Rattus norvegicus: one gene and its partner. The protein of the gene in region 2 purifies or fractionates together with the protein of the main gene of each other region. This does not show direct contact. Links are inferred from orthologs where the notes say so. Each region holds a gene or a part of one and is shown on either strand. Other genes may lie near its edges.

The links.
Region 1: the proteins of Ddx24 (region 2) and Nifk purify together in Homo sapiens (affinity purification with mass spectrometry; 3 studies listed by BioGRID and IntAct, counting the BioPlex papers as one, with this or other methods). This does not show direct contact. The link is inferred for Rattus norvegicus from reciprocal best matches to the Homo sapiens genes DDX24 and NIFK.

Annotation. Positions count from the first base shown.
Region 1 is NC_086031.1:31,939,262-31,955,172, reverse strand, and holds the start of Nifk (MKI67 FHA domain-interacting nucleolar phosphoprotein), read right to left. Parts: upstream 9,028-15,911; 5' UTR 8,996-9,027; coding exon 8,891-8,995; intron 7,332-8,890; coding exon of another isoform or gene 7,329-7,331; coding exon 7,194-7,328; intron 4,784-7,193; coding exon 4,675-4,783; intron 3,239-4,674; coding exon 3,027-3,238; intron 1,971-3,026; coding exon 1,902-1,970; intron 27-1,901; coding exon 1-26.
Region 2 is NC_086024.1:128,330,662-128,346,026, forward strand, and holds part of Ddx24 (ATP-dependent RNA helicase DDX24), read right to left. Parts: intron 14,678-15,365; 5' UTR 14,673-14,677; coding exon 13,955-14,672; intron 9,988-13,954; coding exon 9,481-9,987; intron 8,738-9,480; coding exon 8,584-8,737; intron 8,327-8,583; coding exon 7,811-8,326; intron 6,794-7,810; coding exon 6,718-6,793; intron 4,081-6,717; coding exon of another isoform or gene 4,015-4,080; exon of another isoform or gene 3,969-4,014; intron 2,057-3,968; coding exon 1,868-2,056; intron 878-1,867; coding exon 748-877; intron 1-747. UniProt on the Homo sapiens protein: ATP-dependent RNA helicase that plays a role in various aspects of RNA metabolism including pre-mRNA splicing and is thereby involved in different biological processes such as cell cycle regulation or innate immunity.

The DNA of each region.
Region 1 (15,911 bases), on a different chromosome or scaffold from region 2:
GTTGGTGTACAAACTGGCGTGGGATCCTGAAAGCAACAAATACACTACAGTCCAGGACTGGGCACAGGCAGCAGGACAACCACTGAGAATCACTACCACCCTAGTGTCCATCACCTTCTTAGCCTTTACCAGGAGCGAACACCCGACACCTCTACCCCCCTAGTTTTAGGTATACCATGATCTGTTTTCAGCTTGTTCTTATTTTCCCTCGACACAAGGGAAGACTGCTTTTCCTCCTTCAAATTATGTCTATAGCAACTGATTCCCAGCATACAAGGACATGCTCACCTGGCTGTCCACAGATGACGACTGCTTCCTCCTAGACCTCTTACTCTTCTTGCTCATGTTAACAGGGTAAAGAAAGGCTGTGCTATGCCCAGATGGCATGGTGCACGCCTATCTCAGCTAGGAGCACACCACAGCGTGTCCTCAAGTTTTGACACAATGCTTCTGCACTTGAGATTGGGGCAAAGAAGCAACAGATACCTAGCTTCTGAGGAAGGCACAATAAAGCTTGGAAATCGATGCCACCTAATTACAGTTATGTGGGGAAAAAGCTGACAGGTTCTATGGAGGACAGAAGACATTCTAAGAGTCAGTTAAGGAAACCTTTGTCAACCCTCGTGAAAGACACCTGGGACTCCTTAATGTCGCAGACAGAGGGCCAAGTCCAGCAAGGCTTCCTTATCTTGTTTCCTGACTAGCAAGGGACTCAGCACCAGAGAAACGCCTCTGCTAATTCACTTCTTGCTCCTGGGGTTGCTGAAATCTAACCTATACACAATCACAAGCCCCATGCTCACCTGCTTCATTCTGATTTTGATTATTATGACTATTTCCAGCTTGAAAGAACATGAAGAACATCTTAGCTAAACTGACAAGATAATGAAGATCAGGGGGCTGGAGAGATGGTTTGGCACCGGCTGCTCTTCCAGAGGACCTAGGATCAATTTCTAGCACCCACATGGCTCACAAATGTGTGTATGCAAACCTGCTTGGGCCAAAAGGACACTGGGTATCCTACCTTATAAATCTTTATTTCCCTTGGACAAAGTCTCTCCCTGAACCTGAAGCTAGACTGGTGGCCAGCAAGTGTCACATGTCCATGTTTCCCCTCTTCTAAAGCATGAATCTGACATTATGTGGATTCTAGGATTTGAACTCAGGTCCTCATATTTCTGTAGCAAGTGCTCTTTCTCACTGACTCAGCTTCTACACAATTTTAGGGTTTTAAAAATCACAATGCTGCGGCTGGAGAGATGGCTCAACAGTTAAGAGCATTGACTGCTCTTCTAGAGGACCTGAATTTAATTCTCAGCAACCACATGATGGCTCACCACCATCTGTAGTGAGATCTGATGTCCTCCTCCAGTGTGTCCGAAGACAGCGACAGTGTACTCATATACATAAATAAATAATTAAAAAAAAAAGATACTCTCTCACAATGCAAGAGACCAGTTCTAGCCTAAAGTTACAGCAGGAGGATGGGAGGTTCATCTTCAGAACACTTTAGTTGGGGGCTTACTGTGTAACATTGGGGCTCCCTTGGGCTATATTCAAGATTTCAAGATCAATTACTAGATCTCAAAAAAGTGCCCCAATAAACCCCCAAACACCCACCAACTATATGAAGTCTTTAACAAAACGTGAAGTAGTGGAAATTACTTTTTTACCTTAAAAAAAGTTTTTTTGATTAGTCTGTGTGTGTGTGTTGTGTGTGTGTGTGTTGTGTGTAGCTCGGAGGACAATTTTTAGGAGTCAGCTCTTTCCTTCAACAATGTGAGATCCAGTGTCTGAACTAGGTAGCCAGGCTTGCTGGCAAGTGTCTTTGTTCCAAGTCTTGCCAACACTCCTGAAAGTATTTCTATAGTAACCAGTGCCCATTATCCAGATTATCTTACCTGGTTAGCCTCAGAATCCCCATGAGTGTTAGCAATGCTTGAAATCTCTTTCTTTGGCTTAGGAAGGACCTGCAAATAAACAATTTGCATATTTATCAGCTATATGCATATGTGGTAGCTGAATTCCCATTTTAAGTATCAGTGTCCAATTGCCAAATGGTTTGAATGTAAGTAACCAGGGTGAGTAGTGCATGCTTATAAACAGTACTTGGAAAGTTGAGGCAGAAAAGCCTGCAATTTGGGGGAGCCTAGACCATGGAGCAAGACCTTGGTTTAAAAAAAAAAGCTAGGGACTAGAGAGATTGTTCAACAATTATGAGCACTGACCATTCTCTCAGGACGCAGATTCAATTCCCAGCACCCAGATGGTGACTTGCAACTATCTGTGAGCTAGTTTTATGGTATCCAACACTCTTTTCTGGTCTCCAAGGATACCTGGCAACCACTTGGTACACAGACAGGAAATTATACTGGGGGAAAAAAAGCTGGCAGGGGCCTGGGAATGTAGTTCATACAAAGTAAAATACCTAAAGCTCTGGGTTATACCTCCAGGACTGCACGAACCTGGAATCATTATGTATGCCTGTAATCCCAGCACTTAGAAAGCAGAGACAGGAAGACCAGAAATTCTATGCCATTCTTGGCAGCATAACAAGTTTGATGGCAGCTTGAATGAGAGACCCAGTCTTCTTAATACAACAACAGGAGCAGCCACTAGTATAAGCAAGTTCATCTATCTACTCAGGATCCCAAGATACAGAGGCAAGAGGGTCTCTGAAGGCTTGCCTGAGCTACAAACTGCTCAAACCTGTCCATGCAACTCAGCCAGATCTTTTCTCTAAACGGGGCTAGAGTTTGAGGGTGGGAGGGATGGATGATGCAGGCTCAGTGTCCTGGGTTCCATCCTCAGTACCAGAAACATTAAAAGCAACAGACTACTTGCCTCGCATGGGCAGGCTCCAGCCTGGTTACCCATCAACCAAAAGAGCCACATGTACAAACCAAACCAAAAACCTAGTGTGAGAAGCAGATTCTGTATAATCACAGACACAAGTTACAACCAGTGAGGCAGGAAGCTCATCCCTGTAAGACAAACCACCAAGAAAACTAGAAAAGGATATTTACCAGTGAAGGAAAACTATAATCAATACCCTTCTTAGCTAGTTTCTTCCTGAGTAATTTTTCCTTCTTCTTAAACCGATATTCCATCTTTAACATCTGCAAATGTCCTCGTTTCTGATTATAGCGTTTCACTGCTGGAAATGATGGCGGATGAAACGGAACATTGCACTGGTTAAAAAGGTCTTTATGAACTTTTTCTCGTGGCATAAATTTACCTATAAAACAAACAAAGAGGAAAGGTTCTTTTAATTTTGTATTTCCCAGATAGCTATTTCTTGTGATATGAACTAACTACTTGACAGAAATAACCTTTAAGCATCAAACAATGATTACTGTCTATGAGTGTGCATGTGTGTAGGTTCACATACCCTGATGCCTGTGGAGGTAGTGCACAACTCTGGGGGTTGGTTCTCTCCTACTTTGATGTGGGATCTAGGGATCAGACTATCACACTTCCACATCAAGCAGCTTTACCTGGTGGCCCACCTCTCTGCCCTCTTCTTTCTTTTTTTTTCTTTTTAACACAGGCTCTCACACAGCCTAAGCTGGCCTTGAAGTTGCCTGCAATGAACGTGAACTTCAGGTCCTCCAGCTTCCACCGCTCAAATACAGGCACTAAAGGTGAGTGCCATCAGATGCAGTGTATGTGCCTGTATGGCCTTGTGAACGCTGGGCCAGTACTCTACCAGCTAAACTAGACTCCCAGTCCCACATAAGCCCTCTCTACCCTGGACGGGGCAAAGATTTGTAGTAAAAAAAACTCAGTAAAATCCAGAGTCTTTCTGGTATTTTCCTCAAACCAGATAAAGCAGAGCACCTATGCCCTCAGGTTTCTGTCCAGCCACTTTCTCCCAACAGGAGGCTGTATGCCTGTAAACTGGTCCCAGGCAGGGCACATGCTACCATGGGTGTAGGCAGGCTGGGCACTTAGGTCTACCTTCCAAGGCAGAGATCTGGATGGTGATGCCACAGGTTTCAGTGATGGGGCACAAGGTTCACAGGGCTCTACTTACCGATCTCTGTGGGAACAATTTATATGCCTATCTGTGGGTGAGTCATCTGTGCAGAACAAGGAGGGCTCCTTGTAGTCTTCTACCCTCTCACTCTTGGTTTTACTTCCTTCAAACAGCCTCTCACTGAGCCTGGAGCTGGGCTGACAGCCAGCGCTGCACCCATCGTTGATGAGTCTGATCTTGAAATGTGATTCTTTACTCTTGGTCTTGCCCTGTATAGACTCCACTAACAGGCCTCACATTAACTTCTTAGTTTTACGGGTGTCAAGAATCTGACCTATAGCCCATCTATCTCTCCCAGTTGAGTTCCCTAACATTTGGTAAGAAATGAACTCAGGCTGCACTGCTGTCCCTTTATTGGCTCATGACTATCTAACCGTCCGTTTTCTTTTCCATTTTTTGACATAAAGCCTCTACACAGCCACGGATGTCCTTGAACTTAGAGAGATCAGCCTGCCTGTGCCTCCCAGGATTAAAGGCATGTGACACTTACACTGGGCTTTAACCCCATCAGTTTCCAATTTGAGCAAAGTTATTCCCAAACACCCGTTAAAGATCGGTCTGCTTCTCTTCCTGAATACAACCCCACAGGTAACTTCCTAATCCAATCACAGTGCAGGAAAGGTCAGAGTACTTACATGATAGAAGCCTTTCACCAAAAAGGTAGTTATCCATTGTTTCTGCAACTATCTTGGCAACATCCTCAGACTCAAACTCCACAAAGGCAAAGCCTCTGCTGTTTCCAGTCTGAAACAGAAAACCCACAAAAGAGCAGTTAAGTGGCTAATTAAGAGCATTCAAGGAATAGGGAGGCAAAGTTTAGAACAGAGGCAGAAGGAACACCCATTCAGAGCCTGCCCCACATGTGGCCCATACATATACAGCCACCCAATTAGACAAGATGGATGAAGCAAAGAAGTGCAGACCGACAGGAGCCGGATGTAGATCTCTCCTGAGAGACATAGCCAGAATACAGCAAATATATAGGCGAATGTCAGCAGCAAACCACTGAACTGAGAACGGGACCCTTGTTGAAGGGATCAGAGAGAGGACTGAAAGAACTTGAAGGGGCTCGAGACCCCATATGAACAACAATGCCAAGCAACCAGAGCTTCCAGGGACTAAGCTACTACCCAAAGACTATACATGGACTGACCCTGGGCTCCAACCTCATAGGTAGCAATGAATAGCCTAGTATGAGCACCAGTGGAAGGGGAAGCCCTTGGTCCTGCCAAGACTGAATCCCCAGTTAATTTGATTGTTGGAGGGAGGGTGGTAATGGGAGGAGGATGGAACCTCCTCCATATAGAAGGGGAGGGGGAGGGACTAGGGGGATGTTGGCCCGGAAACCGAGAAAGGGAAAAACATTCAAAATGTAAATAAGAAATACCCAAGTTAATAAAGATGAAAAAAAAAAAAAAACATTTGACCTGGGTTCAACTCCCAGCACCCACATGGCAGCTGAAATCCCCTATTTCAGAAGCTCTGATGTCCTCCTTTCTGGCTTCTGCAGATACTAGGCATGCATGTAGTGTACAAATACACAGACGGGCAGAACACCCATACACATAAATAATAAAATTCCCTTTGAGTTGGGCATGGTGGTGAATGCCTATAATCCTAATATGTGGGAAGCAGAGGTAGGATAATTACAAGTTCAAGGCTAGCCTAGTCTGTGTAGCAAGACTGGAACAGCCAGAGTTCCACAGTTAATCTCCATCTCAAACCAACCAAACGAAACCCAAACACTTTAAAGGTGCTTACAGGATATAAATCTAAAAACCTGTTGAAACACATGGCCTCTGTCATGGGAGTGATGGCTCATCCTAGTATCTGAGCCACTTCTAGGCTCTGGAAGTGGAACCATGTTTCTGGAGCAAATATGGATTCATTGCTCACTGTACCTTCACTAGTTGAGCGGTGAACAAAGGCTACATCTCCTGGTAGCTGTTAAATAAATGCAGCAGTACATCAAGAATCAATTATTTCTTAGAGGGGCCCATAGATGTTATTTGGGGAGAGGCCTCTGGAGCAAGTGAGGAGTAGCCATTCCGTGAGACTGTGGAGTCTACAGAATTTAGCAGCTATGACTCAGGCAGAGGCAGTGGCTGCTAAGATTATCAGGAAGCTGGACAAACACTTGACAAAGGAAAAAAAGCTGCTGGCTGTATTAGCCAGGGCACCTGCAGGAGACAGCAGGTACATTCCAGAAGGGATCCACGAAACTCAACCCACCAAGAGCCAAAGCTCAGGAGCCTCCTCAGGAAATGGAAGACTCAGACAAAACAACACCTTGTTTCCAAGGAGGGAGGTAGAGACAGGTGGGGCAGCACAAGTCTCCCAAGGGAAAGGATTGTTCAGAGAACTAGGAAAGGCAACCAGCAGAAACCCCAAGAGTTGGAAATTCTCTTCCAGGGAGGAACCAGTGGGCAACAGGCCTTAAGAAGCTGGTGTGGTACCACAGACAAATCCCACCGCATGATTTAAGCCCCAGTAAAAGCAAATTCACAAAAAACAAAACAAAAAAAAACCCACCAAAAACCAAAACCAAAAAACTGACCTGCCACTTCTGTTTTGGCTAAACTGGCTGGGAGCAAGTTCTACAATCCAGGCTCCAGCTCCCAGTACTGGGCTCACTTGGCCTTTCAGTTGGTGCTTGAGGAAAAGGTGCGTGTGTGTGTGTTCTACTTCCTGTTTAGAGCGCGAGTGCTCTTACCATTGGGCCATTTCCCCAGGTCTCAGTCACCCTGTCACTGGGCTGGAGCTGGGCTGAGCTGGCTAGTCAGTGCGCCCCAGGAACCCCATTCCCACTTTCCTAGCACTGGGATTACACATGTATGTGACCATATCTGGCTTTTGACCTGGGTTCTGTAGATGGACAGTTACAAACTGGGCTATCTCCACAGCCTCATTATTTTTCTCTCTTTATTGAGATAGAAATCCACATTATGTAGCTGTGACTGGCTTCAAACTCAGTGGTCTACCTATCTGTCTCCCAAGTGCCGGGACGAACGGTATGAGCCACCATGCTGCTTCGCTTGTGAAGAGTTCCCAAGTAGGAACTTTGTAGGTAACAAAGTTTTGCCTATGAATACAAAGGAGGCCGTACAATTGACAAGCAAAATAAACATAGTTGAATTCAGGTACAGAATCTTACCCGCTTACTTCTGGACAATCTGAATCTTCTAATATCGCCAAACTGGGCACAGTAGTCATAGATGTGGCTTTCAGAGAGCGTTGAAGGTAGGTGCCCCAGATAAACTACTCCAGAGTTAAGTTTTTCTTCCTTCTTCTGCTGAGGACAAAACAGATAAACATTTTAAAAAATTCACACTGCACCAAAACATTGTATATACACATTTTTTTCTGACCTGGGTCTCATTATGGAGCCTTGGCTGGCCTGAAACTCACTATGTAGACCAGGCTGGCCTCTAATTCATGAATACTAAGAGTAAAGGCATTACTATGCTCTCTGCAAAGGACTTTATTTTTCAACAAAGGTATGTTACCATTCCTTAACTTCAGAAAAATTTAATTCTAAAGTCTTTTTTCCCTTTTTTGAGACAGGGTTTCTTTGTGTAGCCCTAGTTGTCCTGGAGTTAGCTTTGTAGACCAGGCCAGACTCAAACTCACACAGACCCACCTGCTTCTGCCTCCTGAGTGCTGGAGTAAAGGTGTGTGCCACCACCCCCCAGCTTTCTAAAGTCCTTTCAGAGGATAGGTAGAGCTTTGCCTGCCTCTGTCTCTCCAGCACTGGACTGAAGGTAAATGTAACCTTACCTGGCCTGCAACAAAATTTTCAACACCCTTCATTCCTCTTGGTCCGGGAACATTTCTCTATCACAGCAGAAACTGAAAAACTAGGTGTCTGTATCTCTTTTCTTAAGCACCGCTGTGCAAACCTGAGGCTTGAGTTCAATCACACAGAGCCACAGACTCTGCAGAGACAGACTTATGTGTGCCGTGGTGTGCATGCACACCCACCTGTCCCTACAAAGCAGTCGGCACATGTGTTCCTTAATGGACAATCAAGTGAAAGTCTGTCATTGTCACTCCGAATCCAAGACCTTCAACTCTGAACTCAGATGGCAGCTTATTACATCGAATCATTTCCGATTAACCTTCACAGTGAAGACTATACTTCTGTCACCACCTTAGAGAACAAGAACTTGTTTCCCATCAGGTAGGGTACTGGGTGACCTATAGTGACCTACACCTGTAATCCCAGTGGATATATGGTTCAAGGACTAGACTGCACGGCAAATGTGATGCAATTTTGTGCTACAAAAACTCTACAAAGACACTGTAACAAAAACAACCCGCACAAAAGACACCCCCGCCAGGACAACAGCAAAACAAGAAAGAAAATCTTCCTTTCTCTCCAGTGCACCTCATGCTGAAAACCAAAGGGGATATAAACTTCCTTTCGGGGCAGTCTGGGAACAGAGCTTGGCAGGCTGTAATCCCTATTTTCTTTGGCGAAGCTCTGGTCTGAATACTGAGCCCGAGCTGTTTTCTGACTCTCGATCCTCCTGCTTCCCCGCTCGTCCAAGGACCTGGATTTGTCTGTTCCGTCTACTAAGCACTACAACGTAAGGGGACATACATACCTTCCAAATGCTGTGGTTCATTCTGAACCCCCATTTTGCGGGCCAAAGCGGAAATGTGACAGCTTTAACATATTTTGGGAATTGGAGGTGCCATGCTCCCCACACGTGGTACACCTCCTTTTTCACGTGAGCCCTGAGGGCCTAAAGGGTCAAACCTCACACCGATTCCCTGCCTGCCTCAGTCTCCAGAGCCCGTGAGAGGTGGGCTCCCGAGTCAGCGCGGCCAGAGAGCCCCGCCGCTCACCTTTTTCGCGCGCCGTTGTATTTGCGTCAGATCCTTCTCAAACTGCGAGTCCTCCCGCGGGTTCAACGCCAGAGTCGGCTTCGCAGGGCCTGAATACTCGGCCATACTGGAGAAGCACGAACAAGTTAATCCACGCGGAACCTCCGGAAGTGACGTTCTTTTCACTACTCGGAAGCGGAAGCAGAGGCGGGAGTGTAGCAAGAAGAGCAAGCCCTGGTGTTTGGAATTGGACGACCTCGAGCGCCACCTATTGACCACAATCTAAAAGACTTTCTAAGACGGATTAAAAATTATTCGGAGGCTAATGTTGGTGAAGTGCTTGCCCAGCTCTGCATAAACCATGACTGGAGCCCCACGCCTGTAATCCTAGAATTTGGGAGGTGGAGGCAGGAGGATCAGGAGTTCAAAGCGGTTCTCATATGCATAGTTCGACCACGGCCTGGGCTCCATGGACTCAAAACAAATTTACAAGTCCCAAACATTATCCATGTCTGTTGGCTAGTCAGGCCTACAAGCAATAGGGAAAGTCTTCCTGCCATGGACTCCTTTTGTAAACTTTGTAAACACTCAAGCAGGAAAGTGGTCAGGCCCCTGCCTGAGGAGCTTCAATGGCCAGCCTCCCCAAATCTCCACATGTCCCCCTCTTTCCCTAACATCCCTAACGATTTCTAACCGCCCAGAAGTGGGAGAGTGACCAGACTCTGGCATACAAGAAAAAAGTTCCACCAGTCCCTGAGTTCCCTCAGGTTCAGGACTTGAAATTCCACCAGTCCTCACCATGGAAATCTCCACAACATAGTGCAACATATATTTGTATTTTTGATATTATACATGTGTCTTTATGTGTTCAGGAATTCAGGTGACCATAGAGAATAATGGTGTGGGATCTCCTGAACCTGGAATTACAGGCTGTTGTGAGATGCCCAGTGTACTGGGAACTGAACTCAAGTCCTCTGGAATAGTAGAAAATATTTTTAACTGTGAACTACTTGTTCAGTCCCTATTTATTTTATTTTTATGTGATAAGTGTTTTGCCTGTCTGTATGTGTACCCTATATGTGTAATGTGTGTGCCGAGGACAGAAGAGGGTATCAGAACATGGACTTAAGGACTGTGAGCCAGGGTCCTTTGGCTCTTAACCACAGAGCCATCTCTTCAGCTCCCTAGTAGGTTTCTTTAGATAACACAATAGGAATTTTGAGAAAACACACACACAAAAAAAGAAGTTTGAAGACTTTCTTATGTTGAAATAATTGTCTTGGGATGTAGCAATGGCTCAGTGGTTAAGAGCACTGGCTGCTCTTTCAGAGGTCCTCAGTTCAATTCCCAGCAACTACATGGTGGCTCACAACCATCTGTAGTGTGATCTGACGCCCTCTTCTGGTGTATCTGAAGACAGCTACAGTGTACTCATATACATGGAATAAATAAATATTTAAAAACTGTCTTTCTGTCTTCTCCATTTGTTTATTTACTTATAGATTAATTGATTGATTGATTTTGTGTGTACGCCTGTCAATGAGTATGGGTGTGTGCACCTTTGCCCTGTATCACATGTGTCTAGGTCAAAAGATGACTTGCAATAGTTAGTTCTTTCCTTCCCCGGTATCGGTTCTGGGGACTCGGGGCTGGTGGTAAGTGCCTTTACTTGTCAAGCCATCTTAATGACCTGGTCTGAAGATTATTTTAAGCCAAACATTTTTGAGACTCAGGGGATACAAAAAGGTCTTTATCTAAGAGAGCAAGTTCTGAGGAGATGTGGCTTCCTTAAATCCCTTTGGGGAATATCATGACATTGAGAACACTGTAAGAGGGGCTGGAGGTACAGCCTCGGTACAGAGCTTACATGCCTGTTTTGAAGCTCTGGCTTCTATTTCAAACTCTGAGTAAGCAGCACCTAGACAGCCAGCAATGTATGAGGCCTTCTCAGTTTCCACAAAAGGGGGAGGGCAATGGCAAGGTGGCTCAGAGGGTAAAGGCTACTGCTGTTAAGTACTGCTGAATTGGACCATGGAACCCAAATGGTACAAAGTGAGAACCAACTCCAGCAAGCTCTCCTCTGAGGCTGTACTAGTTTTCTTTCTGTTGCTATGATAAAACAAACCAAAACTAACCTGAGTGAGAAACAAGATTTTGTCTTATAGGTTAAAATCCAAAGGCAAGAACTGAAGTAGAACCCATGAAGGACCATTGCTTATTGGCTTGTTCCCAGGCTCATACTCAACCACTTGTCTTATATAAACCAGGCCATCTGTCAAAGGATGTTAGCATCCACAGTGGGCTGGGCCCTCCTATGTCAACCAGCAACCAGGAAAATGGCCCCAAAACATAACTCCCAAGGACAATCTGATGGAGGCAACTCCTTAACTGAAGTTCCCTCTTCCTAAGTGTATCAGTTACTTTCCTGCAGCTGTGATAAAGCACCACGATCAATGGACATTATAGGGAAAGGAGTTTATTTTGGTATATAGTTCCAGAGGAAGAATGCAGGAGAGCAGAGAAGTCATGGGAGCAAACAGTAGCAGGAAGCTTGGGAGCTGAGAGAGCCCATCTTCTGCAAACATTAAAGCCTCTACCTCCCACGTTCTCGCATGCTCAACTCATCTACCTTAGTTTTCTATTACTGGGATGACATCACGAGTAAGGCAATTTGTAGAAGGAAGAGTTTATTTAGAGCTTACATTTCAGAGAGTGAGCCCATGACACTCATGGCAGGGAGCATGGGGGTAGGCAGGCAGGTGGGCAGGGCACTGTAGTAGTGGCTGAGAGCATATGTCCTAATCCACAAGTAGTAGGAAGACAGAAAGCTATCTGGTAATGGCATAGGCTTTTGAAACCTCAAAGCCTTCCCATAGTGAAACATGTCCTCCAACAAGGTTCCACCTCCTAACTCTTCCCAAAGTTTCCACCAACTAGGAACCACGTACTCAAATATATCACCCTAGGGGGGGCATTCTAATTGAAACCATTACATCTGGTTCATGTTGTACTGAAGTCAAATCCAACGACTCACATTCTAGGAGAGCCTTCTACCTCTAGAGCTGTATCCCTGGCCTAGGGCCTGCGACTTGATTATGTCATCAAGTTCTTCAATTCCTTTTCTGATTTTCTGTTCTGTTGACATTTATCTTATATTGGTCTGATTCACAGACCCTCATACACAGAATAGAAAAAAATGGAAAGTGTTTTCTCTTATTTCTAGAAGATACGATGTACAATTGGCTATGTCAACTGGAGAGATGGCTCAGTGGCTAAAAGTGTTTGCTGCTCTTTCAGAAGACACAGGTTTGATTTCCAACATCCATGTATCAGCTTAAAACTGTCTGTAACTTCAGTTTCAGGAGATCTGTTGTTTTTTGGCATTCTCCGGCACCAGTCACATATGTAGCATACTTGCATGTATTCAGGCAAAATACTCATACACATAAAACAATACTTATGTTGCTTTGAGAAAAGGTCTCATTATGTAGCCTTGGCTGGCCTGGCACTTACTTTTTTTTAATCTTTATTAATTGAGTATTTCTTATTTACATTTCGATTGTTATTCCCCTTCCCGGTTTCCTGGCCAACATCCCCCTAAACCCTCTCCCTCCCATTTTATATGGGCTTCTCCTCCCCATCCTCCCCCCATTACCACCCTCCTCCCAACATTCACGTTCACTGGGGGTTCAGTCTTGGCAGGACCAAGGGCTTCCCCTTCCACTGGTGCTCTTACTAGGCTATTCATTGCTACCTATGAGGTTGGAGTCCAGGGTCAGTCCATGTATAGTCTTTGGGTAGTGGCTTAGTCCCTGGAAGCTCTGGTTGGTTGAAATTGTTGTACACATGGGGTCTCTAACCTCTTCAAGCTCTTCCTGTCCTTTCTCTGATTCCTTCAACGGGGGTTCTATTCTCAGTTCAGTGGATTGCTGCTGGCATTCGCCTATGTATTTGCTGTATTCTGGCTGTGTCTCTCAGGAGCGATCTACATCCGGTACCTGTCAGCCTGCACTTCTTTGCTTCATCCATCTTATCTAGTTTGGAGGCTGTATATGTATGGGCCAAATGTGGGGCAGGCTCTGAATGGGTGTTCGTTCTGCCTCTGTTCTAAACTTTGTGTCCCTATTACCTGCCAAGGGTATTCTTGTTCCCCTTTAAAGGAGTGAAGCATTCGCATTTTGGTCATCCATCTTGAGTTTCATGTGTTCTATGCATCTAGGATAATTCAAGCGTTTGGGCTAATATCGACTTATCAATGAGTGCATACCATGTGTGTTTTTCTGTGATTGGGTTACCTCACTCAGGATGATATTTTCTAGTTCAATCCATTTGCTTATGAATTTCATACAGTCATTGTTTTTGATAGCTGAGTAATATTCCATTGTGTAGATGTACCACATCTGTATCCATTCCTCTGTTGAAGGGCATCTGGGTTCTTTCCAGCTTCTGGCTATTATAAATAAGGCTGCTATGAACATAGTGGAGCATGTGTCTTTTTTATATGTTGGGGCATCTTTTGGGTATATGCCCAAGAGAGGTATAGCTGGGTCCTCAGGTAGTTCAATGTCCAATTTTCTGAGGAACCTCCAGACTGATTTCCAGAATGGTTTTACCAGTCTGCAATCCCACCAACAATGGAGGAGTGTTCCTCTTTCTCCACATCCTCGCCAGCATTTGCTGTCACCTGAGCTTTTGATCTTAGCCATTCTCACTGGTGTGAGGTGAAATCTCAGGGTTGTTTTGATTTGCATTTCCCTTATGACTAAAGATGTTGAACATTTCTTTAGGTGTTTCTCAGCCATTCGGCATTCCTCAGCTGTGAATTCTTTGTTTAGCTCTGAACCCCATTTTTTAATAGGGTTATTTGTTTCCCTGCGGTCTAACTTCTTGAGTTCTTTGTATATTTTGGATATAAGCCCTCTATCAGTTGTAGGATTGGTAAAGATCTTTACCCAATCTGTTGGTTGCTGTTTTGTCCTAACTACAGTGTCCTTTGCCTTACAGAAGCTTTGCAGTTTTATGAGATCCCATTTGTCGATTCTTTTTTTTTTTTTTTATTAACTTGAGTATGTCTTATATACATTTCAAGTGTTATTCCCTTTCCCGGTTTCCGGGCAAACATCCCCCTCCCCCCTCCCCTTCCTTATGGGTGTTCCCCTCCCAACCCTCCCCCCATTGCCGCCCTCCCCCCATAGTCTAGTTCACTGGGGGTTCAGTCTTAGCAGGACCCAGGACTTCCCCTTCCACTGGTGCTCTTACTAGGATATTCATTGCTACCTATGGGGTCAGAGTCCAGGGTCAGTCCATGTATAGTCTTTAGGTAGTGGCTTAGTCCCTGGAAGCTCTGGTTGCTTGACATTGTTGTACTTTTGGGGTCTCGAGCCCCTTCAAGCTCTTCCAGTTCTTTCTCTGATTCCTTCAACGGGGGACCTATTCTCAGTTCAGTGGTTTGCTGCTGGCATTCGCCTCTGTATTTGCTGTATTCTGGCTGTGTCTCTCAGGAGCGATCTACATCCGGCTCCTGTCGGTCTGCACTTCTTTGCTTCATCCATCTTGTCTAATTGGGTGGCTGTATATGTATGGGCCACATGTGGGGCAGGCTCTGAATGGGTGTTCCTTCAGTCTCTGTTTTAATCTTTGCCTCTCCCTTCCCTGCCAAGGGTATTCTTTTTCCTCATTTAAAGAAGGAGTGAAGCATTCACATTTTGATCATCCGTCTTGAGTTTCGTTTGTTCTAGGGATCTAGGGTAATTCAAGCATTTGGGCTAATAGCCACTTATCAATGAGTGCATACCAAGTATGTCTTTCTGTGAATGGGTTAGCTCACTCAGGATGATATTTTCCAGTTCCAACCATTTGCCTACGAATTTCATAAACTTGTTGTTTTTGATAGCTGAGTAATATTCCATTGTGTAGATGTACCACATTTTCTGTATCCATTCCTCTATTGAAGGGCATCTGGGTTCTTTCCAGTTTCTGGCTATTATAAATAAGGCTGCTATGAACATAGTGGAGCACGTGTCTCTTTTGTATGTTGAGGAATCTTTTGGGTATATGCCCAAGAGAGGTATAGCTGGATCCTCAGGCAGTTCAATGTCCAATTTTCTGAGGAACCTCCAGACTGATTTCCAGAATGGTTTTACCAGTCTGCAATCCCACCAACAATGGAGGAGTGTTCCTCTTTCTCCACATCCTCGCCAGCATCTGCTGTCACCTGAGTTTTTGATCTTAGCCATTCTCACTGGTGTGAGGTGAAATCTCAGGGTTGTTTTGATTTGCATTTCCCTTATGACTAAAGATGTTGAACATTTCTTTAGGTGTTTCTCAGCCATTCGGCATTCCTCAGCTGTGAATTCTTTGTTTAGCTCTGAACCCCATTTTTTAATAGGGTTATTTGTTTCCCTGCGGTCTAACTTCTTGAGTTCTTTGTATATTTTGGATATAAGCCCTCTATCAGTTGTAGGATTGGTAAATATCTTTTCCCAATCTGTTGATTGCCGTTTTGTCCTAACTACAGTGTCCTTTGCCTTACAGAAGCTTTGCAGTTTTATGAGATCCCATTTGTCGATTCTTGATCTTAGAGCATAAGCCATTGGTGTTTTGTTCAGGAAATTTTTTCCAGTGCCCATGTGTTCCAGATGCTTCCCTAGTTTTTCTTCTATTAGTTTGAGTGTGTCTGGTTTGATGTGGAGGTCCTTGATCCACTTGGACTTAAGCTTTGTACAGGGTGATAAGGATGGATCGATCTGCATTCTTCTACATGTTGCCCTCCAGTTGAACCAGCACCATTTGCTGAAAATGCTATCTTTTTTCCATTGGATGGTTTTGGCTCCTTTGTCAAAAATCAAGTGCCCATAGGTGTGTGGGTTCATTTCTGGGTCTTCAATTCTATTCCATTGGTCTATCTGTCTGTCTCTGTACCAATACCATGCAGTTTTTATCACTATTGCTCTGTAATACTGCTTGAGTTCAGGGATAGTGATTCCCCCTGAAGTCCTTTTATTGTTGAGGATAGCTTTAGCTATCCTGGGTTTTTTGTTAT
Region 2 (15,365 bases):
CATGCAGCCCCTCACCTCTATTCTCTTCCTTGGCTTCTGGCCCACAGACAGAAGAGGATTTAGGCAATGCCTGGCAGTAGAGCTATTCTGATGTACAAATTCCTTTTCTCTGTGAGCCTTTTGCTTTGTTTTTTGTTTTTTTTGAGATAAGTTTCTCTATGTAGCCCTGGCTGGCCTTGAACTCACAGAGATGTACCTGCCTCTGCTGGGGTTAAAGGCAAGTCTACCACTGCCTGGCTCTCTGTAGTTTTTATTAATTTATCCCTCTTTTTCCCTCATGTAAAAGGACAGTAGCTCCTACTAAATTCATGCCAAGCAACTGAAGAAGTTAGATGGGACACGAAGGTGCTGTGCTGCTCAACATTAACTACCATAAGTAACTACTTAGCAGTGTCAATGCCTCCTATTTTTCAAGCATAAGTGCATCCAGTTTAGTTTCCTTTACTCAACCTTGTCAGGAGGTAGGGAGTTTCTTACCTGTCTTATAGATGAGGGAAGGAAGAGGCACAGCAAAGGCTAATCATACAGTAAAAGGACAGGCTGCATTAACAAGGATACTCTGCTTGTGATCTACCCCTAGTCATGGAGTCCAAGGGCCGCCCATATGAGGCAGTCAGACAAGAGAGGCCAAGGCATCTGGCCCATACAAAATAAGCAGCCATAAGAAAAGGGAGCCTGACTCCAGTAGCTTACCGGGGTGAACCAGGTAAAGGAAAGGGGGAAACAAACACCCGCCCAGGCAGGCACCTTTGTACATCTCTTCTTCTAGTTCAATCTCCAGGGCCGCCGCTGCTTGCTCGATCCATGAGTTGTGCAAACAAGCCTGGAAGTTCCGGTATTCAGCTTTTTCAATCTGCCGGGCTAGACGGATCCGCTCCTGAGGGGGCAGTGACACAAAAGAGTCATGTGATAAGGGGCTGGGCCTCTCAGCAAGCTTACTGAAGCAGTTTTTAAACTGCAATGTGGCCAGTGAGCAGTGAGAACCAACACAGATCCTACAAACCCTTGCTAACAGCCCAGGTGACCATCACGACCACAGAAGCCCGCCTGCACCTCCTTAGAGCTCTGTCCCAGTGAGCTTGTCTCCCCTTTCCTCAGTCCTTTCTCATGGGTGTTGAGGTCCCACTGCAGTGACGACGCTGTGCTTATCCTGACACGGAGAGACCGTGTGTAGTGGGAATAAGCATGGAAGTGGGGTGACTTCCAGGAGCCTTACCAGGAATTCTCTACAATCCCGCTCTCTACCAGCCCCATCTAAATCCTCACACAACCAACATTCATGCCAAAGTGCTCACATACCCTTAAATCGCCCCTTGTTTTCACGCCCTCAATGCCCGTATCTCCCATCTTCTCTTCACCCTCATCTCTGCAGTAGAACGAAGGCTCTGCTCCCCACATCATAACCACACACCTATCGGGCCCATGCTTCACAGACACCTCACTGTGCTGGGGGCTTACCCTACACACACACTGGTGAGCCTCGGGAAAACACCCCATATTACACCCTAATACACTGGGGCCCGGGGTACCCAGACATCACAGCGGATGCTCCTGAGCCTTACGGTCCCTGCTTCAGGGAGCACCAGGCCTTCAGCATTCACCTCCCTGTTCACAGCTCCCTGACAGATGTCTCTGTGGCTGAGCTCTGGAGCAGAAGCAGGTGGAGATTTCAGGACCAGATATCAAAGTGAATGAGGGGCAAAACGCAGACTTTTCTAGTCACTCCCCCTTTCTGACTTTCTCCTAGAGCTGGCACTTCCAGCCTTTTAACAAAAGCCACTGTCTAGCCACTGGCAGAACCATTTCTCAGTTCCCTAGGGTAAGGTGCTCTGTGAGGAGGCGGTGCACTGGAATTTAATATGTTTACCTTGACCATGTCCATGTACTTTGACTGCACTGGGAACAGTGGGATGTCCTCATCTTTCTTGAGAGTTTTGTAAATCTTCTTGAAGTTGATCACATCCTCAGGCCCAATCAGCATCAAGCTGAGGCCTTCACTGGTAGCACGAGCCGTCCGACCGCTTCGGTGGATATAAATCTCCGAGGTGCGAGGCACCTGCCAAAGCAGCAACAAGGGTCAGCACGCAGACAGACAGTGCCCAACAAGGGTCAGCACGCAGACAGACAGTGCCTAACACCGCTCTTTCCCTCAGGGCACACCCAAAACTGGCTCTGTTCTCGGAGGGACAGAAAATTTACCCGTACATGCTGACACTCAGACTGTGCTTAAGTCGACAGTCTACCCACTGTACAGGTTCTACCCCACCCCCATGGCCTCCAAAATGGTCCAGCTCTTCATACTCAATCTGATTGTTTTTCTCGTCTTCTCCACTCTCACTCCCCTTGTGACCAATACCATCTACTTCAGTCTCCACTTGGAAACCCCACAGACTCCTCAGCTCGGCATGACCAGTGATGGTACATTTATAACCAACAGTTACTGAGTGGCTGCTTTAAGCCAACCAATCACAAAATACTTCGTATGTGTTCGTTTGAATGAGAAGTTCTCTGTTAAGTTTCAGGTATTTGAACACTTGGTCCCCAACTGGCAACTGTGTTTTTGAGGCCTAGGAGGCATCACCTTGCTGAAGAAGTTGTCACTGGAGGCCAGGCTTTGAGCTCACAAAAGCTGGATACCATTTCCAGCACTCGCTCTCTGCTTCCTATTTCCAGCTGAGCTCGCAGCTGCTGCTCCACCCACTCCCACCTGTTAGCTCCACTCCCCGTCATGAGCTCACACCCTCTGGAACCCTGTGGAACCGTGAGCTAAATAAGTCGATTCTTCTCTAAGCACCCTGATCACACTGTTTTACCACAGCAACAGAAGTGTGATAAAGACTATTATCCTAGTCATATGAAATACTTCATCACTGTCTACATATTATAGACGCGGAAACTACAGAACACTCAGATCCACCACTTCCTCTAGGTTATCCAACTCCATGACCACGTTAACCCAGGATGACCTGTATAGCAGGTGTGCTGTCCACAAGCACGTGACATGGGTACCTGTGCCCTCTTCCCTGACTCCTGTAACCACCACCACTAATGAAGTGCAGCAGGCTCAGTAACACTACGAACCGTTTACCATGATTCTAGAAATGAGATTTGCCATTCTTCATCAAGGGCCAGCTCCTTCCCATGACTCTCTAGCTGCAGCCACCTGCTCCCAGCTTACTCTGCAGGCTCAGAAACTACTCACCTACTCCCTTCCCAACCAAGTCCTGTGCTCTCCCCAGGCTAAGTAACCCTGTGCTTGCTAGGTTTTCTCAATTTGATGAGAAATGCTGCCATCAGAATGAGCGGCCTATAGATAAGCCTGTGGGCATTTTCTCCATTTATGGCAGATGGAACAGGACCCAGCCTCAGTGAAATCACTGTGGCAATGCCCCTTGGACAGGAGGGCCTGGGTTGTATTAAGCAAACTGAGTAACCCATGAGGAACAAGGCAGTAAGCAGCACTCCTCTGTGGTCTCATCTTCAGTTCCTGCACCGACTTCCCTTCATGCAGACATAAGCTGTAAGGTCAAACAAACCTTTCCTTCCCAAGTTGCTTTTGGTCATGGTATGTAGCATAGCAGCAGAGCCCTAAGACATACCCCAAGCATGCTCCCTCCATACATTACCTGTCCCCCTCTGCATGTCCCAACCTCTCCATCCCAGAATGCCAGCATCTTCTAGAAAGCACTCAGCGCCCTCTCAAATTGTATCACATGTGGTAATTTTCTAATATCTCCTGCCTCATGTTATGGTGGGGGCCACATCTCATTGCTCCTCTACAGGATGTGGTGAATTCTTAGGGCTGGGACTGTACTGTGTGGTGATGACATCTACAGCAGACCCAGTCCCTCTATCACAGAAATGTGCTACTCTGAAATCTACACCCTCAAAAGATTTTTAAATGCAACGAAATTAAAGATGAAAAGCACTAAAAACATCCTACTAGAAGCCGGACTTTCCACACTTACAGTGTCAGGTGTCACCATTCACTCAACTCAGCTCTCAAAACAACCCTCAGGGCAGGAGTGGGTGCCGCTTCCAGCCTACAGGTGACATACAGAAATGAATGGTCCCAAGTACCTGTGTGTGTGGAGAGCCAAAGATGGAGTCCAAGTGTCAGAACCTCCTTCCCAGCCGTGGGATGGTCTGCAGCCACACTCACCACCTTAACCAGTTGCTAGAACATATTTCAGGGTGTGAAGGGGCCTCTGTGTTTTAAATCTGACTGCCAGTTTCTGGTGATAGTCACAGCATCCCTTATGAATATTTAGGAGGATGCAAAGCAGATGTAAATATGTGAAACCATACCTCAGCGGGCATGCCCTCAGTGGGGGAGGGCTCTCACCTGCCCAAAGCTATGGACACTAAAGCATCAGAGTGGTGCTCAATTCCTGGCAGCAGGATCTGGAGCCCACGCTTCCAGCTACAACTACATGGTACTGTTGGTTTGTCACAATCACTAACGTTACTGCTACTACTGACCTGGAACATGTAGTCAGTGTTTCCAACTGGCTGCCCAAGCTCTTTACCTTTGTGCCCTACTAACCCAGAGATGCACAACCCTGTCATTTACAAAATGAGAAAACCAAGGGATACAAACTATTTATTGAAGGTCACACAGCCAGGATTTAGCCAAGGGCAGTCTTAAGTTCACTGCCCTTGAACTGCACAGCAGCCATTTAACACACAGCTGTGTGTGAGGAGTCCTACAGACCCCCCTGCACACACACACCCCAAAAAAACTCCAGGGTATTGCCAAGACTAACTGTTGCTCTCCACAAGCTGACGGTAAAGCCCTTCTGCTGAAGGCCACACCTACAGAATTCACTGAACATGGAGAAGTGGAGGTGCTGCCTACCTAGAACCTTCCTAGAACTACTCGAATCCCTATGTACCAGTGCTATGTGGACTAATGTCCACAGTATGAGAAAGTACTCTGCATGTTACCAGAAGAAAAAGGTAAATAGCAACCCAGCTACCAACCCCTCCATCTACCATGGTGACCTGCAAGAGTGGCACAAACACTGTGGGAGTGACTGGCCGTATGGGACTGGAATCAAGGCCCACACCTTGAGACAGAACCCATGTCTGACACTGCTAGGCAGCCAAGAAACTGACACATACCCAGGGGCAAACCAAATACTACTGTTCTGTTAAAGGAACACAGCAGCTAAATGGCTCTTTAATAGCATCCTCCTCCTGTACTCACAGAGCAGTGTCTTGCTCAGCTATCATCAATAAGAAGCTTTCTCCTGAAGCAGATGGGAACAAATACAGACACACAACTGGACACTGGAACATTAAGTCTTAGTGAGATGTCTCCATCAAATTCCTCCTCTCAGGGCTCAGGAAACATTGTGGAAGAGGAAAAGTGGAAAGACTGTACAAGTCAGCAGGTATGGAAGACACAAGGAAATGAGGCCTTCCTGACACAACAGGACCGACACACGTGTGAACTCAGAGACCGAAGCAGCATGCACAGGGTCCGCACAGATCTAAGATCTAAGCCAAGGGCCCTAGGGCCGAGAAGAGGGGTGAATACAAGCCCCCATCCCCAACCCGGAGGCTATCTGTCTTCGACTGACAACCCCTGGCATAAGAAAAGTTAGTTTTCTCCAGCAGTCTCACTGGGTATACAAACCACGCTTAGGGTCAGGCCCCAGGCCCCGCAGTACACGGCCAACACAAAATGAACTTGACAGTATTTTCAGAGATTTCCTCTTCTTCTTCTTCTTCTTCTTTTTGGTCTTAAAATGCTCCCCTCCTTCCCTTTACAGGTTTTTGTTTATATATTATGGTTTCTGATTCTGTGGTTTTCTGGGATTTTGTGTATGGGAGTGTGTGCCTTTGTATCTGTGTGTCTCTTGTATTTTACAGTTGGACTCTGGCTTGTTTGCTTTGCTTTGCTTTGTTTCAGTTGCCTATTTTGTAAAGAGAGAGAAAGAAAAAGTACAGATGTGGGTGGGTAAGGAAGATGGGAGGTGGGGAAGATCTGGGATGACCTGGGGGAGAGGAACTGTGATCAGAATATAGTGTATAAAAAAAATCCATTTTCAATAAAAACTAAAATTATTAAAAATCCTAAGCCAAAATTATGTCGCTGTGGTCTATCCCCACCAAAACTCATGCTGAAGCTAAATTCTTTGGTGTTACAAGTACAGCAGTGTTAGGAGGGGCCTAGTGGGAGGTGTCTGTGGATGGGACAGAAAGAGAACTAGAGTTCTTGCTCTCCAGGGTCTGGACTGGCATGAGACACACGCCAAGGCTGTCTCCCTCCTGCTTACCTCCTGCTTGTCCTTCCACCAAGGCTCCCACAGAAGCTGAGCGGATGCTGGTGACACGCCCTTGGATTTTGCAGCCCCAGAATCAATAGGCACACCCTCTTTAAAAATTACCATGTTTAAGGCATTCTGTCATAGTGACAGAAAACACTAAGCTCACACTTTCATCTGTCGATATCGAGTAGCCTGAAGAGAAAGGCTACTTGATAGGGCTCTCACCAAGTATCTGAAGAGCAGTAACAGTGAGCACTGATGCTAATGAGAACCTGTTACAAGGAACCTGAGGAGGAATATTCCTCCCCTCTGCTCGACTTCTGCTTTAACATTTCCTCATTCACTGCAGGGGTGGGACAGGGGATGAGGAGCAGGGGTGTGTGTGTGACAGGGGATGGGATGCAGGGGTGTGTGTGTGTAGCATTAACACCAAGAGCTGTACCTGGTAATGGATGACATGCTGAACTTTAGGAATATCCAGACCCCGAGCTGCCACGTCTGTTGCCAAGAGAACACAGCTGTGTGGAAATAAGCACACCATAATTATAAATAACAGTAGTTATCAGTCAGCTCAGCACCTGCTAAGCTCTCCACACTACAGCCCTACCAGGTAATACTAGTATCTCACTTCTACAATCAAGAACCCGAGACTGAGAGATTCACTTTCCATGGTGTGAACATGGCTAGTCTGTTGTGAAATCAGGACCCCAAATCTGGGTCTTACTGTCTCAAGCACATGCTGTGTTCTGTGCTGTGAATGAAGTGAAGCCATATCCATTCTGGGTCACCGTCCTTGTCTCCTAATACCTTCTCGCTATTCTCCGCCATCCTGAGAGACTGCCTCACTCTTCCTAGACAGACACCATATGCCCACTCCCTGCACCACTGGTTCACAGGCAGATGGACAAACATGGAGAGATGAGCCATGGGCTCTGGAGTCTGACAGAAATCTGAGACCCAGCCTGTCATTTCCATGTTGTAGGAGTCATCTGATCATCTAACGAAGTGAGAAGAGCAACGGAAATAAGCAGTAGTGGGTCACTGTGGTTACGGAAGGCCACCCTGGCAGGCACTGCCCACACTTTCCCTGCACTGCTCCCAGTCACTCCATTCTTGCAACCCCACGCCTGTCACCCTACATGTGAGGCAGTGAAGCACAGGCATGCTGGCTATCTTGACCAGCGAGGAAGTGAAGGGGTCAGGATCTGCTCTCAGATACTCTGGTTCTGGAGGCTGTGCTCTCTCAATCACAACCTATTCTGTTGCTTCCAAGGATGCTAAAAGTTAAGGGGATGCCCAGGACTTCGTTTATTGTCTAATTACTGGAAGTCTCTGTAACAACATTAATAGCAAAAAAACGCAATGAATGAATGACTTTGCCAAATACAGAGATAAAATTAAGGAAAAAAGAGCTAGCCTGCCTTGTGCTGCTAGGGTACCTATGACAGAAGGTGGAGTCCCTAGTTCCCTGCCCCACTGCCCTCCTGAGCACAGTGGCTCATGGTTCAAGGCCTCTGGAGACAGACTTCACTTACTCTTCCAGCCGAGCAAACTGCTCCAGGTTTCTGAGCCTTTGCTTCTGGTGCATGCAGGCATGCAGGGTCAGTGGCATGATATCCAAGACCTTGAGGAGCCCAGAGAGGCGTTTGATGCAAGAGATGCTGTTGGCAAATACCAGGCTACGACCTGGGTACTGCATGAGAAAATAGTAGAGATACAAGTCTTTCTCATCTGTCTCGCAGTGGATCTTGGTCTCCGTCAGCGTCTCCACTGTGCCCTCATTCCTTGTGAGGTCAATGACTTTCGGTTTGCCCCGCATGCCAATCTTCTGCATGAGAAGGTCAAGTTTGGCAGTTTTATCCATTTTCTTCACGTGTTTCTTATGAAGGATTCGTGCAGGAGCTTGGTGTACCAAGGTTAGTGTGGCAGAAAAAACAAGAGTTTGGCGATTGGGGTTGTACTGGGAGTCATTTAGCATCTCTAGCAGCTGAGAGAGTTCAGCAAAATGGTCTTTCTCAACCATCCGATCAGCCTCATCTATGACCAGGCACCTGCAGGGAAGGAAACCTCTATAAGACATCCTGCTTCCACCCCACTTGCATGTTTTCATCCGTGGTGCACACAGCACCCTGCCATCACTTCTAGGCACCCATTAACTTTTCTCATGCATGCTCAGTTTTTGAGAAGAGGGCCCGGATGGCCACAAGATTCTGTAATAGTGAGAAAGCATTGCACACACCAACCATGCAGCCACCTCAGGCTTACTTCAGAGATGGTTAAGGGGGAAGGGGGAGGGGCCACCTCTCACCTGAGCTGCCGAAGGTTACTCAAATGAGGGTGTTTTTCTTTGATTAACTCCCAGAGCCGACCAGGGGTGGCGATCACAATCTCAGGATGGCGGTTCAGCATCCTTTGCTGTTTCTGTGTGGACATTCCACCGACTAAAATTGCTGTATTGATCCCTACAGGACAGAAACCAACAGATACTGTCATTCCCTCTGGCTGCTCATCCTATGGATCAGCACGCACTACCCAGCACAGCTTTCTATGCCAAGGAAATGCTGCCACAGTTGGCCTGTCCTGACTTTTAGAGGCTTACCAAGTAGTCTGCACTTTGTGGTCTGGACCCTGTCTACTTTGCCATTTCTTCCCATTCTCTCCTTAACCACAACAGAAAGGCTGCATTTGAACCTCGTCACTTATTTCCAGAGCTCTGAAGGTGAGCAGTGTTGGACCAGAATGCTGGGAAGGATGTTTATGATGTGACACGCTATAAGGAGCCCTTTAGGGTCTGGTGTGTCTTCTCTCTAAGAGAGAATCGCTCTGGAGCCGTTGGATAGAAGTGAACTCACATGCTAACACAGCTGAGGCACTGAGCAAGTACGCTGGGCTTGAAGAACTCAGCCCTGCAATGTGGCTCTAGTTACGATAAACACCACACTGTGAAAACCTTTCCCTGAGGAACAGAATTATGCTTCTATCTCAAAGCAGGGACCTTTTGTTCTTAAAAGGTCCGGCTACTCACAAACATGTTATAGATCTGGTCCCCTTGAGGAAATTAAACACCTATCGACTGATTTCTAAAGGACTTAATAGTCCAGCAGATGAGAACACTCCCCTAGGACAGGAGCCACAACTCTTACTCTTGTCATCTGGCATTCAGAGACCTGCTTAGAAACAGTTACTAAGTGAAACTAAATCTCACCTGTAAACTTGGCCACAGCATCAATGTGTTGTCTGACCTGGACAGCCAGCTCTCGGGTAGGAGTCAGGACCAGTCCAAGCAGAGGGCGCCTTGGGTGTACTTTATAAACAGCAATTTGGTCACACAACTCCTGCTTTAACTTTCCAGCCTGCTCTTCATCCAACTTTTCTTCTCTGTCCTTACTTTGCTTTTCCTCGACTAAGGAAGAAGGCCCTTCACCAGCATCATCATCACAGAAGAGCCCTGCCTGGGCTGAGGCAGCAGAAGCGCCAGCCTTGGCTGTGGCCTGGACCCCAGAGTCACTGGGCTGTGCTTCAGTCTCAATTGTGGCCTCTTCAGGCAATACTCCAGACTTCGCTCCATCCTTGCAAGGTGAGCCACGATGGGCTGCAGCTCCTAACCTCGGTGGCACTCCAGCGCTACTTGGGATGGGTGGAGCCTTCATCTTATGCCACTGCAACACTGAGTGAATCATCGGGATGGCAAAAGCCAGCGTTTTCCCGCTTCCTGAGAAGTAAAGCAAGACCAACAGAAATCCATGATGCGCAAGTCATTGTTTGAAGTTCCTGCCTTTGCATAGAAATAAGGAAACCTCAAAGAGTCACGTGCCTCCCTGACTGACCCAAAGCACCAGCACTCTACACAGGTCCTCCAGCACAGGGATAGCACGCATGGTGCAGTGTGAAGTCACCAGAGACACCAAAGTGAGGAAACCATAAAAGCCTGAAGGGTCAGTCTTGTCCTGTGGAGAATCTGTACAGCACATATCCCTAAGACCCTTTTCAGTGAAGGAAGGAATAAAATAAATCACTCTTTTCAGAAATCTAAACATGTTTGACTTTATGCGTGAGTGTTTTCAAACTGACCTCTGAAGGCATAATGGAGCCCATAACACCTAAGGGTCAACCCAGGAATTAGAAGTAGAGATTTTCTCCTTAACTCATTTTACTTTCTGCATTTCAGCTACTCATGGTCACTTATGGTCCAAGAAGTTATTAAACTGATAATCCCATAAATAAGGATTTCAAAAGTTTTAAGCCATATATCACTCCAAATAGTAAGGGGACTCGAACACTGCCTGGCGCCATCTACACAAGACAGGAGTCTTCCTTCTGTCCCACTATAAATGTTACCCACCCATGAATATTATCAGACTATGCGCCCTGCTTATGTTCAGGTAGCTCTTACTTTATCTACTGGTCCTACCACCTGAGAGTAGTTACCCCAATGAGCAACTCAGACAGGCTAGAGCTAGAAGCTGTAAAGTGTTTTTCTCGAAATTCTCGAACTTAGAGAAAAAAAAGTCATGAATTGGTTACTAAGATCTACAATATGAATGAATGTTCTTTCCATGAAATTGTAAAGAAGTTTATGTTAGTTTTGCTGTTATATCAATCTGCAGAAAGTATGACCATGGAGCATGAATGCTCAAGATATAAACACATTCAATCTATAAATGTTCAGGGGAAACAATACAAACAGGGTTCAGCAGTATCTATCTCATCTGTGTTTGGGGGATCTTCTAGGGGACCTGAAAGGTGTCCTTCCTGGATACTGAAGTTGCCAGGTAAGAATGCCCCAGACAAAGTCAATGCACCAGCTCTGGAAGAAAAACAGTCCCAGCCATTAGCTTCGGAGAGCTCCGATGGGGACGGGCCAAATGGGCCAGTGAGACGGCTCAGCTCAGCCGGTGCCACTTAAGTCTGAGCACCTGAGGCCACTCCCAAGATCTACATGGTGGGAGTTATGAACTGACTCCCACAAGTTGTCCTCTGGCCTCTATAAACAGGCCTTGGCTTGCACAAACTTATACATCAATGTATACACATACAGAAATAAATGTTTTTTAAAACTTTGAAAAAAGGGAGAAAAAACTTTTATGAAGTTTTCAAAGAAAATGACAGTTCTAAGTGAAAAATAACCAAACAAGCAAAGCATTAGAAGAAAGAGCTCAAACAAACAAACAAAAAACCACAAAACACCTGGAAAATTTAAGGGAAAAAAAGACAGTAAAAGCCGAAACATAACAGCATCCGTATTTAACAATCTCAGAAAAGTAAAACTGACAATCAGAACTATCTAGAAAAAATTCCTTTAAGACAAAATACAAAACAAAGGCTACTTTTGTGCTATAAAGAATGCAAGCCGAAGTCTTCCAGGCAGACAAAAGATGGTGGTTTAGGAAAAATATCATTCAGCCATGGAAATATCCATCCACATAGGAACTGAAGTGTATCAGAAGTTACAAAAACAAAAGAAACTGTTTTCTTTTTAAACCTCTTTAAAAAAAATTGCTTACAGCAAAACAGTAAAAGCATATTTTAGAATTTCCATCACAAAAACAGAAATACAAAACAAAAAGCACCAAGGAAGGGGAGATGGAAATTAGCCCTTGAGAGGTTCTCATGCCACACATGAGGCACTGTATCACTCGAGGGTAAACTACAGTAGATGCATATGTACAACTTGTGACGTAGTCTGTGACCCTAAAGCAAACACTGAAAGACACAGCAAAGGCCTGGCTACAAGAGAGGAGCCAGACAGTGCCTTGAGTGTATACTGGGTCTCATTCGCAGTTCTGAAATGAAACCCTTGGCACTTTTTGATATGTATATTTAGTTGTGGTATTTAGTTTTCCTCTACATTCCTGGTGTAAGACACAGACGCTCAAAAGGGTCTTTTTGTAAATTAATTAGACTGTGAGCTAAAGACTAATTGTCTCCAGAAAACTGCAAGATAGGAACTGGTGGCTGCAGGGCTGGAATTTCTGCCCGCATGCATGCACACACGCGCGCATGCACGTACAGACACACAGACACACACACACACACACCCCTCCTGACCACCAGAGAGAGGGACTGAAGATCAATCTCCAAAGATGGAGGTTTTTATCAATCATGCTCATATAATGGAAGCCCTATAACACTACAAACAATTTAAAAAGCTTCCAGGCTCGAGACTGCATAAAAAGGTGACATGCCCAGAATGGGTGCACAGAAGCCCTTTGCCCTCTTACTAGCCTCAATGTTTAGCCCTGTCAATCTCTACCAGGCTATTCCCAAGTTATATAGCCTTTAAGCCTGTAAACACTTCTCCATGAAGTCTGGGAGTCATTGAGAAAAGTATTAAACCCTTGGGGGTGGGGGTAACATGGGCTCCTTAATCTGAAGCTGAATAAATCAGGACTAGGGGATGCTCAATAAGGAAGTAGTCTTGTTAAGACTCGGAACAGAGCTTACAGGGGAATGACTTTCATTCCAGGTATGTCAGAAGAGAGCTGCACTATAGGACATCTGACTCCAGTTGAGGTAGAGAAATAGTTGGCTTGGTAAAACCTCAAGAGAACCTGTTCTATCAGAAGTGCATTGTAGTTACAAACATCTTGTTTTCTGTTGTTTTGAGACTGGGTCTACATCTCCCTGGCTGGATTGGAACTTGTTCTGTAGACCAGGTTGACTTCAAACTCACAGACCCTTCTGCTTCTTAAAGGCACTAACCTTCATGGTTTTTGTTTTCAAAAAGTTCCTAATTCAAGTTGAGTACCACAACCCAAACATCCAAATTCCCAAATGCTAAAAATTTTTATACATTCTTAGTGCCACCAAGACCTGCAGGCTTTCTGTTTAAGGAGTGTATGAAATACATGAATTGCATATATAGACTTGGATCCTACCCCTCATGTTTAATATATAAACCTGCTAACAGATTGTCAGCCACATGAAACAAAAAGTTGGATAATATTTTAAGTGGAAAAGAATCACTCAGGGGGAAATGACTAAAAGAAAACAATGCTCTTATTTTAAAATTTAATTCCGTATTTAAAAACCTTCCTGGATAGGAAAGAGCAAGTCCAGGTGAACTCTAACAAATATTTAAGGCTGAGGAAAACACCAATTATTTAAACCCACTCTGATAACTGAAACGACAACACTTCAAGTTAATGAGACCAGTTTAATGCCAACACTACAAGAAAACTACAGATGACTATTCTAATGCCACAGCCGCACTTGACCAAAGCCAGTGATGTATAAACACACTGTGACAAGCTCACTATGTGTGAGGAAAGTCTGGTTCTCACTTTTGGAAATCAATGTAATTTGCTTTATCAGCAGACTAAAACCAAAAACCTACATACCTCAATACATACAATATGAACATGTGTAAAAACTCTGACATGCATTTTTGATTTTAAAAACTCTCGGTAGAGTTGTGAGAGAACACTCTCAATCTGACGCGGTCCAGCTGTGCAGACACAAAGTAGTGTTCTCACCTCCATCTCACCTTGGGCCTCAGAAACAGAGCGGAGTACCAGATTCAAGCAGGACAGATTTCAGCCCAGAGCTGAATGGTTCTAACACCTTCCGTGGCTTTTGTGGCCACATTCCCAACAATCCCCTCTCCTAGTTTCCCAGCCTGTGAGCAACCAAAGGCTGGCTCCAGGAGCTCTACCTAGGGCAGACAGAGCATCCCTTACCTGTCTCAGCAGCTCCAAGGATGTCCAGTTTGTCACGGATGGCAGGGGCCAAAGTCAGCGCTTGGATTGGGGTGGGTGCAGAGAAACCTAGAAAGCTGAGAGCTCGGAGAACAGCCTTGGGTACAAACAGGTCCCTCCAGGCCGACACGTCTGCCTTCTGGTCTTGCACCTCAGGCATCCACGTCTTAGCTTTTTTGGGCACTTTGGGGGCAGTGCTCTGAAAAGTGTCTAATTTTTTTTTCCCTTTGTTTTTCTTCTTTCTTGGAACAGTCTGTGCCAGGCTTTCCGATGTGGCTCCTCCTACCTTCTGATCAGAACACACAGTGATTTCTCCCTGAGCCCCTGGCTCAGAAGCTTTCCCTTCACATTCATCCTGGGCAGCGCTGCCTTCAGCAACGAGGATTGCATCTCTCTGCTTCTTCAATTTGATCTTTTTCTTTGGGGAGCTGGACTCTCCCTCCTCCTCTTCTTCCTCTTCAGACACAGCCTGGGCCTTTCTCTTCTTGGTCGTCTCATCTGAGAACAAACGGGAGGGATTCTTGACTAAGCGGTAATCTGTCAGTTCCTCAAAGCACACCAAGTCATCCATCTGTCCATCTGCAAACAGATTTGGGTCGATCGTCACTTGCTTCCATTTCCCCACAACCTTGATGCCCTTCCTCTGAAATGTGCCACGGCTTGCTGACTTGGGCTTCGATTTTGTCTCCTTCAACTTCATGGTTGCTGAAAAGAAATGCTCTTTTGGGTTAGTGACTGTGGAGCACAGGTTCAAGGGCAACACACACTTTCCTAAAATGTACTCAACCCTGCAAACAGTTGAGGACATGAAGATGGTTTACCCTGCATAGAGAAGATGTTCTCATGCAGAAAATGAAACCCACTCACAGAATAGGTAGTTGGGCTTGGAACAGATGGGACGCAGGCAACAGAGTAAAAAGATACATGAGCTAACTCTGGTTCTGATCCTAGCTCCAACACTTAACTTGTTGCAACCTTCAACCACACTCCCTACTCCTCTCAGAATTTAGTGTTATAATCTTTTTAAATGAGAGGGGTGTGGTACTATCTAATAATATGTAATTTTAAACTGTACACAAAATAATTGAAAGTAAGAAGAGATAGGCTGATGCTTGACCAGTTAGTTACTACAGAAGTCATTTTGAACACGGAGTAAGAGTCTGAGAGAGTGTGGTTTTTTTTTTTTTTTTAAAACAAGTGCACTGTGCTTTCTTCCCTAGTAGAACCAGAGAAGTCCCATTTCTATTCTGGCCTTCGCCAGATAGGTTAAAACCCGGGAAGTCTAGGTTCCAGCCCCAGCACTGTGTAAAACCGTATATAGTGGGTATCCAGCCCTCGGAAACGGAAGTAGGAAGATCAGGAGCTCAAAGCCAGCCTTGGCTACACAAGACCC